Linked DNA regions of Arabidopsis thaliana. The protein of the gene in region 2 interacts with the protein of the main gene of each other region in a pairwise test. Each region holds a gene or a part of one and is shown on either strand. Other genes may lie near its edges.

Region 1 (3,833 bases), on a different chromosome or scaffold from region 2:
TAATATATATATTTTTTGTTTTTGGATAATCATGAATTCAGTTTTATCTAGATTTTGTTTTTCAAAAATATTAACTAACCTGAATATTTTTTGGTACTATATAAGTAAAATTGCGTGGTAGGAAATTTTGACCTAAATCTGTGTTGATCAATTTTAGGTTCTTTCTCAAAACGCATTTTACAAGTAGGGAATAGAATTTGAAGAAGCATTGTGTTTAGGTTAAAAACTGAATCTCTCTATTCATCTTCCTTTTTTATTTTCATATAAATACCGATTTGATTTCATTTTATATCCATTCTTTATCTCTATTAATATATAGGGTTTAGAAATCAGGTGATATTCGCTTGATTAGATTCATCTTCTTATTATGCATTGAGGTTTGTGTTTTCATCTTCACACCTTCTCTAACATATTTGAGTGCAGTACAACGCAATCCACGATTTTGATTGGCTATTCTGATTACTATATTATTTAGAAACCTTAATCTCTTTACTGTTTAGAATTCACATAAAAATTCGTAGGTTGTGATTTTTTTTTTTCAGTTCGTGTATAGACCTAGGCATACGATTTTCCCTTTTGTTTTTGTTTTTTTCATGTTTCGGATTTTCGTGTTTAAGAAAAAGATTCTGTAAATATGTTTGTTTGATTCAGTTTAAAAGGAAAAAATTACATCATGTATTTCGATATATCCTATATTTAAATGTATTTTGTATATATTCTAGAAATGATCAAAAATGTACAATTACATTTTCTTTCTTTCTTTCACAGATTATGATGTTTCATCAAATGGACAAAATATCGACACCATGCGCGGCATGCAAGCACCTGAGGAGAAAATGCACAGAAGATTGTGTGTTTGCGCCTTACTTCCCCTCGACTAAACTGGACAACTACGAAGCGGTTCACAAGGTATTTGGAGCAAGCCATGTGGCTACACTTATCAACAGTCTTCACCCATGCCAAAGAGAATTTGCCATGGACACGCTCGCTTGGGAGGCACAAGTTCAAGCCAATGATCCGGTCAATGGCTGTCTGGGTATCATTTACAACCTCCTTAGTCAGATTAAAGACTTGGAAGAACAACTCGCGATCGTCAAGAACGAACTTGCCTCTTACTGTATCGTCCCCACATTTGTGCCACCACCTTCGATGACGAATCTGGAAATGCATAACAATCCTATGATGATACCGGAACACACACCTAATAACGGTGGTTGTTTAACGGGTCAACAGTTGTATAACGAGGCTCAACGTTTTGCATCCACACAAAGCGCTCAAATGCAAGAGACGCAGATGCAGCACGATGAGGAGAGTTACCGTGACAAAAGTTCTTATCAAAAATTTGGACCATGCTTTAACCTACATTAATCATTATCATATTGAATCTTGATAACAATGGTAAGCTTTTAAAATCTTTTTAAGTCTTGTCTAGTCGTTTGTATAACTACATTAAGATATAAATACAATTATTGTTTTTAGTTAACAAAACATCCGTTATCGTCCAGCGGTTAGGATATCTGGCTTTCACCCAGGAGACCCGGGTTCGATTCCCGGTAACGGAGCTTTTTTTGGTTTTTAAGATTCGAAAAAGTACTTTTTGCCTCATCACTATCTTTACGTTAATAAACTCAGCGGCAGTTCAAGCCGTAAACCTTAACATTTCTAATCAGGATCCTTAGTCAATTTGATTATTTCTTTTACAAATACTCCAACATTCAACAAGGACCTTGTGTAGAACTACACTCTGCCATAACAAAATAATAAAGGTGCACTTGTAGTTATGTACAAACGACTAGACAAGAGTTATAAAATTAGAAAAAGGTTAATGTAACATTGCTGTGTACGTGAAAACGTCTTATATGATCTATAAGAAGCTTTTTTTTGTTCGTGACAAAAACAATTTCTGACTTGGCTCAAAATACGACCACAATCACCCACATAAAGTTGGGATATTTTGGAAGTAAACAAGTACAAGTGAAGGTAAAACAATACATATATACATGAGACATTCACATAATTAATTTAAGAAAGACATAACAATTTACTCACCTCACAATTCGTACTCATTCAATTACAAATTTTAGGAGCAACCAAATTGTGTTGATAATATAGAACAGTAAAATTAATATTGATACCTAAAAAAACCAAAAAAAAAAATATTTGAAAAAAAAAAAAAAAAAATCACCAAAACGCGGCGGCCTTTGTCGTATCAAATCAGATAACTAAAACAAAGAAAACGGTGTCGTTGCAAACATCTCTCTCCTCTTATCTAACTTAGAGAGCGACCAATAATTGCCTTTGTCTTTCTCATTCGTCGTTGATCCATCTTTTTCCCCCAAATTCATATCCTTCCTTAGATATTTTTCTCCTTCTTCTTCTTCTAGATTCCAGCTACTCCAGAAGATTCTTCGACTTAATCTGATGTGATTAGGAAGAGCAATAGAGGAAGAGAAGAATCAGAAAAAATGGATCCGGCGACTAATTCACCGATTATGCCGATTGATTTACCGATTATGCACGACAGTGATCGTTACGACTTCGTTAAAGATATTGGCTCTGGTAATTTCGGCGTTGCTCGTCTCATGACCGATAGAGTCACCAAGGAGCTTGTTGCTGTTAAATACATCGAGAGAGGAGAAAAGGTTTCGTCTTTTTTTTTTTGAATGAAAAAAAGATTTGATATTTATAGGCTTTAGTGATTGATTGATGATCGATTATTTTTAGTTTCCAGATTTAGTAGCTTTCCTTTTTAGAGCTTGTTGATCTAGTGTCTTTAATGGTGGTTACTTACTGTTACTATGATTAAATGCTTTTGAAAAGTTTTGATATTTCTCAATAAATGATGATACTTTTTTTTATGGTTGTTTTGCAGATTGATGAAAATGTTCAGAGGGAGATTATCAATCATAGATCATTGAGACATCCTAATATTGTTAGGTTTAAAGAGGTATAATATAATACACCTTGATGTTTCTTCTGTGTGTGTTTGTGTATTAAGTCAGTGTGGTTTAGAGTTTGTTTTGTGTGTGTTTTTGTAATGGTTTAGGTGATTTTGACGCCTTCCCATTTGGCTATTGTTATGGAATATGCTGCTGGTGGAGAACTTTATGAGCGGATTTGTAATGCCGGACGGTTTAGTGAAGATGAGGTTTGGATTCTGATTTATCGTACTGTGTTGTGGTATTGATGTGTGACTACTGATCTTTAAGTTTTTTTATGTATAGGCTCGGTTCTTCTTTCAGCAGCTTATATCTGGAGTTAGCTATTGTCATGCAATGGTACGCAGAGCAGTGTTCTTGCAACTTACTTGAACTTTTCTCGTTCTCGTGTATACCACTCTGGTTTTAATTCTGTGTTTGATTTTCCTGTGAAGCAAATATGCCATCGGGATCTGAAGCTGGAAAATACATTGTTAGATGGAAGTCCGGCACCTCGTTTGAAAATATGTGATTTTGGTTATTCCAAGGTACTATTTATTTCTCTCAAGGTTTGTTTTCTGAATTCTAAGTTTATATATGCTACTGTATGGCCAAGCGCAGAACAGCGGGGGACATCTTGTGATTCCTCGTTGTGCTTCTTATCGTTCATGCTCTTTACCTACATGTGTTTCCTACTAAGTGTCTGTTTTCGCTTTGATTTCTGCTCAAGTATTAACTATGCGTTTCTTTTCTTCAGTCTTCTGTTCTTCATTCCCAACCAAAGTCAACTGTTGGTACTCCTGCATACATTGCACCAGAGATTCTTCTTCGACAGGAATATGATGGCAAGGTAAGGCCATGAGACCAATTCCTCTGTCTAGAGTTCAAACCAGCTTATCCATATGACTGTTTATA
Region 2 (3,833 bases):
TGCAACTCTTCATTCAATTCTTTGAGTTGCGCAATTTCTGCTTCCAGTTCCATCGTATAAGCCTGTCAAGCAAGAAAGTGAAAAAGTAAATAACATGGTCACAGTTTTAAGGTTTCTTTAATCTCCAAAATTTAAACAAACACTCACTTGCTTGCGAGCGCGGGATCTTGCAGCTGATTCCCTATTCTTTATCATCCTTTTTTGCCTTCTCTCAATCACTTTCTCCAGAACTGCACCTGTTTTTCTCACTCGCCCAAACATGTAAGGAACAGGGGACAAAGATGCATCCAGGGCGCTCTTTGGAGTCAGATCAGGTGACATCTGGCTTCCAGGAGATACTGCTGCAACCGTTACTCCTGTTTTAAAATCGACAGCTTGCAGTAGATTGTTGTTCATAGGATGGTTATGAATTCCAAGTATTGAAGGCTTCACTTCCTGGCACTGCGAAAAAAGTAAAAACAAGTCATGCTCAGATAACTGAAACATACATGCATATCCAAAACCAGCTTATCTTAAAACATGAAGGCTACGTCTAATATTTTTCAGATGATTGTATTTCCTACAAAATGTAGTAGCTTAGGTTCTTTAGTCACCTGTGTTGCAGGTTGAGAACGGTTAACCACATCAACAGTGTTGGAAAATGCTATAGTGGTCTGTTTGGGAAAAGGCCTCTCCTGCGTCTGTATCAGTTGTTGCGGCTGCTGCACCATCTGTGGCTGCTGCACCATCTGTGGCTGCTGCATCTGTAGTGGCTGAGTTTGAGCAGTCAGCAGATCCTGTCTCACCGCTACTCCATTTCCTGACAAATCTTGAGGTTGGTTTGCAACAAACCCATTACTAGCTGTCCCAAGACCTCCATTACTGCCAAATCCATAGAATCCGCCATTGAAGTTAGTTACACTCTCCACCGGTTGAGGTTCTTCCCTAACCACACCAGCCCTGACCAAAAACTCCTCCAAAGTCATCTCTCCCAGCGTTTGTTGCCTCTGCGGAATTCCGCTTGTCCCACCATTAACAACACCATTTCCAATGTCATCCTCCTTCATCAGCTCCTTCCAGACATCATCAACCCTTTTCTGACTAATCGTCCGAGGCAAGGTAAGTGAACCTTGTCTCTGCAAACTCCCACCAGTGAAAAAACCACCACTTTCTCCTCCCACACCAACAGCTAACCCACCAATGTTGTTACCACCGCCGTTAATAACAGTGTTTCCACTATTACCATTGCTGATGTTGGTGTAACTGGTATTGTTTCCCATCATTGAATGACTTTCCTCTGCAGTCCAAATGTTCTTCAAGAGCTCATCCATGTTCATAGACCCAAAATCTTTCCCAATTCCACCACCCCATGAGTTCTGAAACTCATCAAAGGTTAACGAGAACACAGAGTTCTGCCTAGTCAATGGAAGACTAGTCCCCACCGTTGGCTGCTGCTCACTCACACCATCAACAAAGCTCTTGAAGTTTAATCTAGACCCCATTACTCAAGCTTTCGTACAACTAGGAGGATCAAGCTTCTGGATATTTACCTATAAGAAAACAAACAAGCAGAGAGATTATGGTTTAATTATACATACATCCATAAATTCATCAACAAACGAAGAATCTAAAAAAGCACTGATCTTTATCCAGTTTTAAAGTACCAAAATTTAAGAACCAAATCCAAAGCCGTGAGACAAAATCAGATTTTTATCAGTTCCAAAGCTAAACCCAAACAAAAGATCTAAATGAAATATAAGCACAATGAAGTCAAACAGAGCAAATGGTGAAAATGGAAAGGAATCTCCTTTTAATCAGTAAACAAATCTCCAAAACACCCAATCATATGCTTATTATTCAGCGGGAAAAAAAAATCATGATTCTCTTCGAATCAGTGAATCTGAACAAGAAAACCAATCAGTAATAGACAACAAAAATCGATTCATCAAACCAAAAAAAAAAAGAAAGAAAAAAAATGAAGCAGCTCAGTCACACAAACTAACAAAAAAAAAAAGGAAGTTTTTTGTTAATTTTCCTGACCTTCGAATTTATTTTTTTTCTTTGGAAATGGAAAATCAATAATTCCTCTTTGAGAAATAAAAGATACCTGAAAGGGGTCAGAGCGAGAGAGATGGACAAGTGTCCATGGCGTGACACTCGTCGTGATATAAAAGGGTTGGTTTCTTTTGTTTGGATGCGACTATTATTTTATTCTCGATAAGGTTATTATAGTATTATGCCAATTTGACGTCAGATCGTGCGTGAGCCGTAGAGATTGGGCAACGTGGTCCAATTAGAAACGCCGCTTTTTCTTTAAATCATTATCGATACATTTGCGTTTCCCACCAATAAAATTTCGCAAAGTGGAAGCATTTTTGGCCGTTTGATTTCCTAAACGGCGTCGTCGTTTACGAGACCAAGTACTACTACTAGTACTACATCTTGGAACAAATTATCAAAATATTCTTATAACTTTTTTTTAAGGATAGATAACCAATAAAAATTAAAATTGATGCATTCATTAGCAGTATAGTAATGAATACGAGATTCGTTGATCCGTTATTTGAGTAACAATCTAACGTAGTGTTCACTAACACTTACTTAGCTACCTAATAAAATAGGGATCACACTTTCATTTCTTGTAAGTTGATGCACCTATTTGATCGAATGGTATGAAAATTTGGTTGGAAACAAAATAACCAACGTTATTCCATTCAAGGGAGCGCATTATGGAAAAAAAATTATGATACGATAAGATTTGTAAGAAAAAATAAGAAACAAATGGAAGAAGGGAATGGGTGAACAGTCCGGAATCTTTATCACGTTTGCTGCACCTACAAAGGGATGGTCATTTGCCACGTGGCGCACTCAATGCCTGCCCTCTTAACAATATTTAAAAAAGTTGAAATGAAGCAAACATACAATAAAATTATGATCTTGTGTGTTGATCTTCACATGGTGATTGTGATCTTGTCTTCAACTTCTTTATTTTATTACACCATTATTGAGACTTCTTTACATTTGGACTCGGTACAATACAAGTGACCCTTCGTGTCTCCCATCTTTTATTTCTATTTTCAATCTTTTTATATTATTTTTTCTTTAAGAATCTACTGGATTAGGAAAGTCTACTCTGCAATACATACTAGTATTAAACAAATATGGAACCGTGATTTTGTTTAATGTTATCATATAGAATTCACATGGGACTCGACGACTCTTTTGAGACGTGCTCTTTCCCGAATTAGATTTAATTAATTGAAGTTACTTCTTTAAGGTCGTGTAGAAACAAAATGTATAAATTATAACCACCTTTCAAGAATCCAAAACTCAAAACCAACGAAAGTACGAAACTATAACAACCGGAAGAAACAACACACAACCGAAATGCTAAAACGTTGTTAACAAAAACAAGTTTAATGTGTAACTTTTTTTCAGCTAGGCTAAAATCCTAGAAGGTTAAAAGATATATAACCTTTTTTTAACAAAAAAGAGAGAGTTTAATATGTAAGTTGCAACAACAGGGTAAGTTTGAAGAAATTTACTTTTTCTTAATTCCATGGTAAGATAATAACAAAATTACAAAATAATTCTTACAATAACAAAATTAGATCAAAAACCTAAACCACAATAAAGAAAAAGAATGAAACCTTAGTGTCATGCCCATATATATTTATTACTTTCTATGTGTCTAGAAGACCTAAAGTTGTTAAGAGTAGTTGAACTCTTAGAAAGAGGTCCATTGATTGGATCAAAAAGAAGACCTCACGATGCAAATTAAAAAAACAAAAAACAAATAAATTATGATTAGAAGAAAGCTTTGAGGAATGAGTTATGAGGCATAGCATGATGAG
Region 3 (3,600 bases), on a different chromosome or scaffold from region 2:
TCATCAGGGATTGAGTATTTAACGCTAAGGATTCTCTGTGTTTCAGAATCATTAAGAGAATAAGAGGAACATCAAGAGATGAACAAAAGGAACAACGTTTTAAGCGGTTACCTGTATTGTTTTCCGATAGTCTCTTGGCTCTTCTGGATCTTCGAACGGATACGCTCCAACCAACATGACGTATAAGGTCACACCACATGACCATACATCTGCAATCTGGTAACCGTAACACTCAATGATTGGCTATTCATCCTTAGAAATACAGAGATTACAGAGGAATTCTCTAAAAGCCTTTACCTTGCCATCATATTCCTGACGAAGCAGTACCTCTGGAGCGATGTATGCAGGAGTACCAACAGTTGACTTTGGTTGTGAATGAAGAACAGAAGACTGTCAAAAAGAAATGCATAAGCAAACACTTTAAAAACACATTTGAACATGACAATGGAGGAACCACAAGTGTATAGTTTCTGATACCAAAAGAACAAAATCATTTGTGATACCTTTGAATATCCAAAATCACAAATTTTTAATCGAGGAGCAGGACTTCCATCCAACAATGTATTCTCTAGCTTCAGGTCACGATGGCAAATTTGCTTCACAGCACATGAAAAAAAGTAGAGTATTAACAACAAGTTAGAAAAAAACAAGAATACAACCAGTCCATAGGCTCCATGAAACAGATTCTCTACATACCATCGAATGACAATAACTGACTCCAGATAGAAGCTGCTGAAAGAAGAACCGAGCCTGTTTACAAGAAGAGATCAAACCATAAGGAAACCGGAGACCTGTAAACCCGATAAGAGAACCAAATACAAACCTCATCTTCACTAAACCGTCCTGCATTGCAAATCCGCTCGTAAAGTTCACCGCCAGAAGCATATTCCATTATGATAGCCAGATGAGTCGGCGTCAAAATGACCTATCCTCAAGTACAAGAAACAGAGTTTAAAAGAGTCACTGGCTTAACAAATTCCAAAAAGACAAGTACTGAAGAAAAGTGTATAAATTTTACCTCTTTAAATCTGACAATATTAGGATGCCTTAGTGACCTGTGGTTAATGATCTCCCTTTGAACATTTTCATCAATCTGCAACTCCCATAGTTACAAGTCATTCACAACTGTCCTAATCTACAAAAGCAGAACACTCAAAACCAACTAAAAAAATCATTTCAATATCCAAAATTTCACATAAATCACAAATTAAAATCATCATTCAAGTGTTAGGAAGCTCACATCTTTAAAATCACATTAAAAGCACTCAAAAGCATAATCATCAAAATCTAAAAACGCTAACTTTAAGTACGAAACCAATAAATCTGGAAAGTGAAAGCTAAACCAAACACTAAAAATGAACGATCACTGGACTAAATAAATATCATCAACTTCCAAAAATAGAAAAAGATGAGATTTTTAAAAATGAAACCTTGTCTCCTCTCTCGATGTACTTGACAGCAACAAGCTCTTTAGTGAGTTTATCTCTCATAAGACGAGCAACACCGAAATTACCAGAACCAATATCCTTAACGAAGTCATATCGATCACTGTCGTGCATAATCGGCATATCCAACGGTCCTGTGGTCACCGGAGCTCGATCCATTTCTGATCACAAAAAGAGAAATTCGAATCTAATACCCAGCAGAGAATATGTTGTTGTTGTTGTTGTTAAGTCGCTGGAATCTAGGAAGAAGAAGAAGATTCGAGAAAATAAATGGAAAAATATCTTCAAGAAGAGAACGAATAAGGAAAGAGAGGAAGAAAAAAGGCAATAATTGGTTGCCCCAAGAGATAAGGATTGTCCCAAAACGACAACGTTCAGTTGCTTTGATACGACAAGAGCCGCCGCGTTTTGATGATTGATGTTGCTTCCTAAGAAACTATAACCCAAAAATATTAAAATTAACATGAAATAAAAAAAGAAAAAGCACGACTTCACTCGTCCTTGTCTCCTAAAATACAAACCTTTTTTCTCTAAATTCTCTGTATTTATCCGTTTCGATTTTTTTCTATTTTTCTTCGTTTTTCTCATTTTGAGAATTCGTATCAAACAAATAAATATTTGTGTTAAAAATAAGTAAAAGAAGAAGATATATTCGTTATAAATAACAAGATATTCTAATTAAAAAAAATAGTTTGGAGGAAACAGAAAAACTTAGTTCATAAGGAAAACAGAAGCTTGAAAGTCACGTGCTGCAGAAGCGGCCATGTGATGAAAGAATATTCGGTTGCGTTATTCCGTTACTTGACGGCGTTAGAAATAGACACTGATGACATTGACACTGACGTGGCAACTTCTAAGCATTTTTTAATTTAGTTGATGGGCCTGCCTCTAATTTTTACATAGAAAAGTCCTTTAGGCCAGCCCAATCCCACCATGGATGACATGGACAGTGACGTGACAACTTCTAAGCATTTTTCAATTTAATTGATGGGCCTGGCTCTAATTTTGTTAAAGAAAATGCCTAAAGATATAAGCAAAAGGCCAGCCCAATTACAATATTGATGATTAATTGGATGAATAGCATTTTATCATATTTGCATGAAATATATAGTCAAATCTTAGGTCATTGATTTTGTCGGTCCATATATATATAGAGACACACTTAAATTAGAATCTACTAAGGACTGTTGTATTAAATTGGATGTTGGATTGACCTAGTTAGAAATCTTTATATGGATTTATTGCGACACGAGACATTGATAAGAGTACCGAGGAAGGTACACTAGTGTGACTAGTGTTAGAGATAGCGAGGTGTATGTATAATTTTACTCTTAAGTTAATGAAAAGGAGTGAATGGTGTTTATGGGTAAGTGCGCAATTAATGGGTCAGTGCTTAATTTAATGGCCGATGCTCATCAATTTCACCACCTTCTCTTTATTGCTATACTAAGCATCCTACTGGTGAGATTAATATACTATTATATGCACATGCACATGAACATTAAGTATCCATGTTTCTCATGAATCATTCAGATCAAATATCTAAGCCACACTCACATTGATTTAGCTACTGATTGTTATGATCATCATGGTATGGACAAATGTGTTAAAGTGAATGAAAGTCTAATAATTTAGATTGGTGTGAGTATGTTAACTTAAATGTTACATCTGTTTTTCAGCCGGTTTTGATTCATGCGAATTCGTGAGGATTAAACACATCATGTAATATTGGGAGAGTCTTGAGGGATGGTTTATAAAGATAAAACGGTGATGATATAGAAGAGAGAGCCAAAAATAAATTAGTGAGTGGTCAAAGATTGTTAATAAATGAACCAACACAATCTTAATTGCCAAGCATTCACACTTAACTACTTCTTTAGCTTCATCTAGCTACTTGATGATTATTATATGCGTTTCCTTGTTTATATGTGAAGCACACACTCTCTTTTAAAAAATGATGTAGCCTTTTTGTAATTTGTTTTTCCTTAGCCTTTTTGGTATCATTATGATAATGTTTTCATAAACTAAACTCTTTTTGTTTCTTATTTCGCATTTTAAACTTTAGGTATATATAACAGGATCGATACTTTTCCAGAAACAAAAAAAAATGTAAATGCGGATATACAAAGATAGATTATTCATACTTTTTAATTTA

What was found.
Region 1: the proteins of ABF3 (region 2) and SNRK2.2 interact in a protein complementation assay, tested with the Arabidopsis thaliana proteins (2 studies listed by BioGRID, with this or other methods).
Region 3: the proteins of ABF3 (region 2) and SNRK2.3 interact in a protein complementation assay, tested with the Arabidopsis thaliana proteins (one study listed by BioGRID).

What each region holds. Positions count from the first base shown.
Region 1 is NC_003074.8:18,742,537-18,746,369, reverse strand, and holds the start of SNRK2.2 (SNF1-related protein kinase 2.2), read left to right. Parts: upstream 1-2,212; 5' UTR 2,213-2,465; coding exon 2,466-2,642; intron 2,643-2,872; coding exon 2,873-2,947; intron 2,948-3,046; coding exon 3,047-3,148; intron 3,149-3,224; coding exon 3,225-3,278; intron 3,279-3,373; coding exon 3,374-3,487; intron 3,488-3,675; coding exon 3,676-3,768; intron 3,769-3,833. Other genes in the region: LBD28 (LOB domain-containing protein 28), read left to right, coding at 772-1,368. UniProt on the Arabidopsis thaliana protein: Together with SRK2I, key component and activator of the abscisic acid (ABA) signaling pathway that regulates numerous ABA responses, such as seed germination, Pro accumulation, root growth inhibition, dormancy and seedling growth, and, to a lesser extent, stomatal closure.
Region 2 is NC_003075.7:16,293,656-16,297,488, reverse strand, and holds the start of ABF3 (abscisic acid responsive elements-binding factor 3), read right to left. Parts: upstream 2,156-3,833; 5' UTR 1,482-2,155; coding exon 594-1,481; intron 442-593; coding exon 148-441; intron 63-147; coding exon 1-62. UniProt on the Arabidopsis thaliana protein: Binds to the ABA-responsive element (ABRE). Mediates stress-responsive ABA signaling.
Region 3 is NC_003076.8:26,708,701-26,712,300, reverse strand, and holds the start of SNRK2.3 (sucrose nonfermenting 1(SNF1)-related protein kinase 2.3), read right to left. Parts: upstream 2,000-3,600; 5' UTR 1,967-1,999; intron 1,882-1,966; 5' UTR 1,605-1,881; coding exon 1,431-1,604; exon of another isoform or gene 1,094-1,430; coding exon 1,019-1,093; intron 926-1,018; coding exon 824-925; intron 751-823; coding exon 697-750; intron 597-696; coding exon 504-596; intron 391-503; coding exon 298-390; intron 217-297; coding exon 112-216; intron 36-111; coding exon 1-35. UniProt on the Arabidopsis thaliana protein: Together with SRK2D, key component and activator of the abscisic acid (ABA) signaling pathway that regulates numerous ABA responses, such as seed germination, Pro accumulation, root growth inhibition, dormancy and seedling growth, and, to a lesser extent, stomatal closure.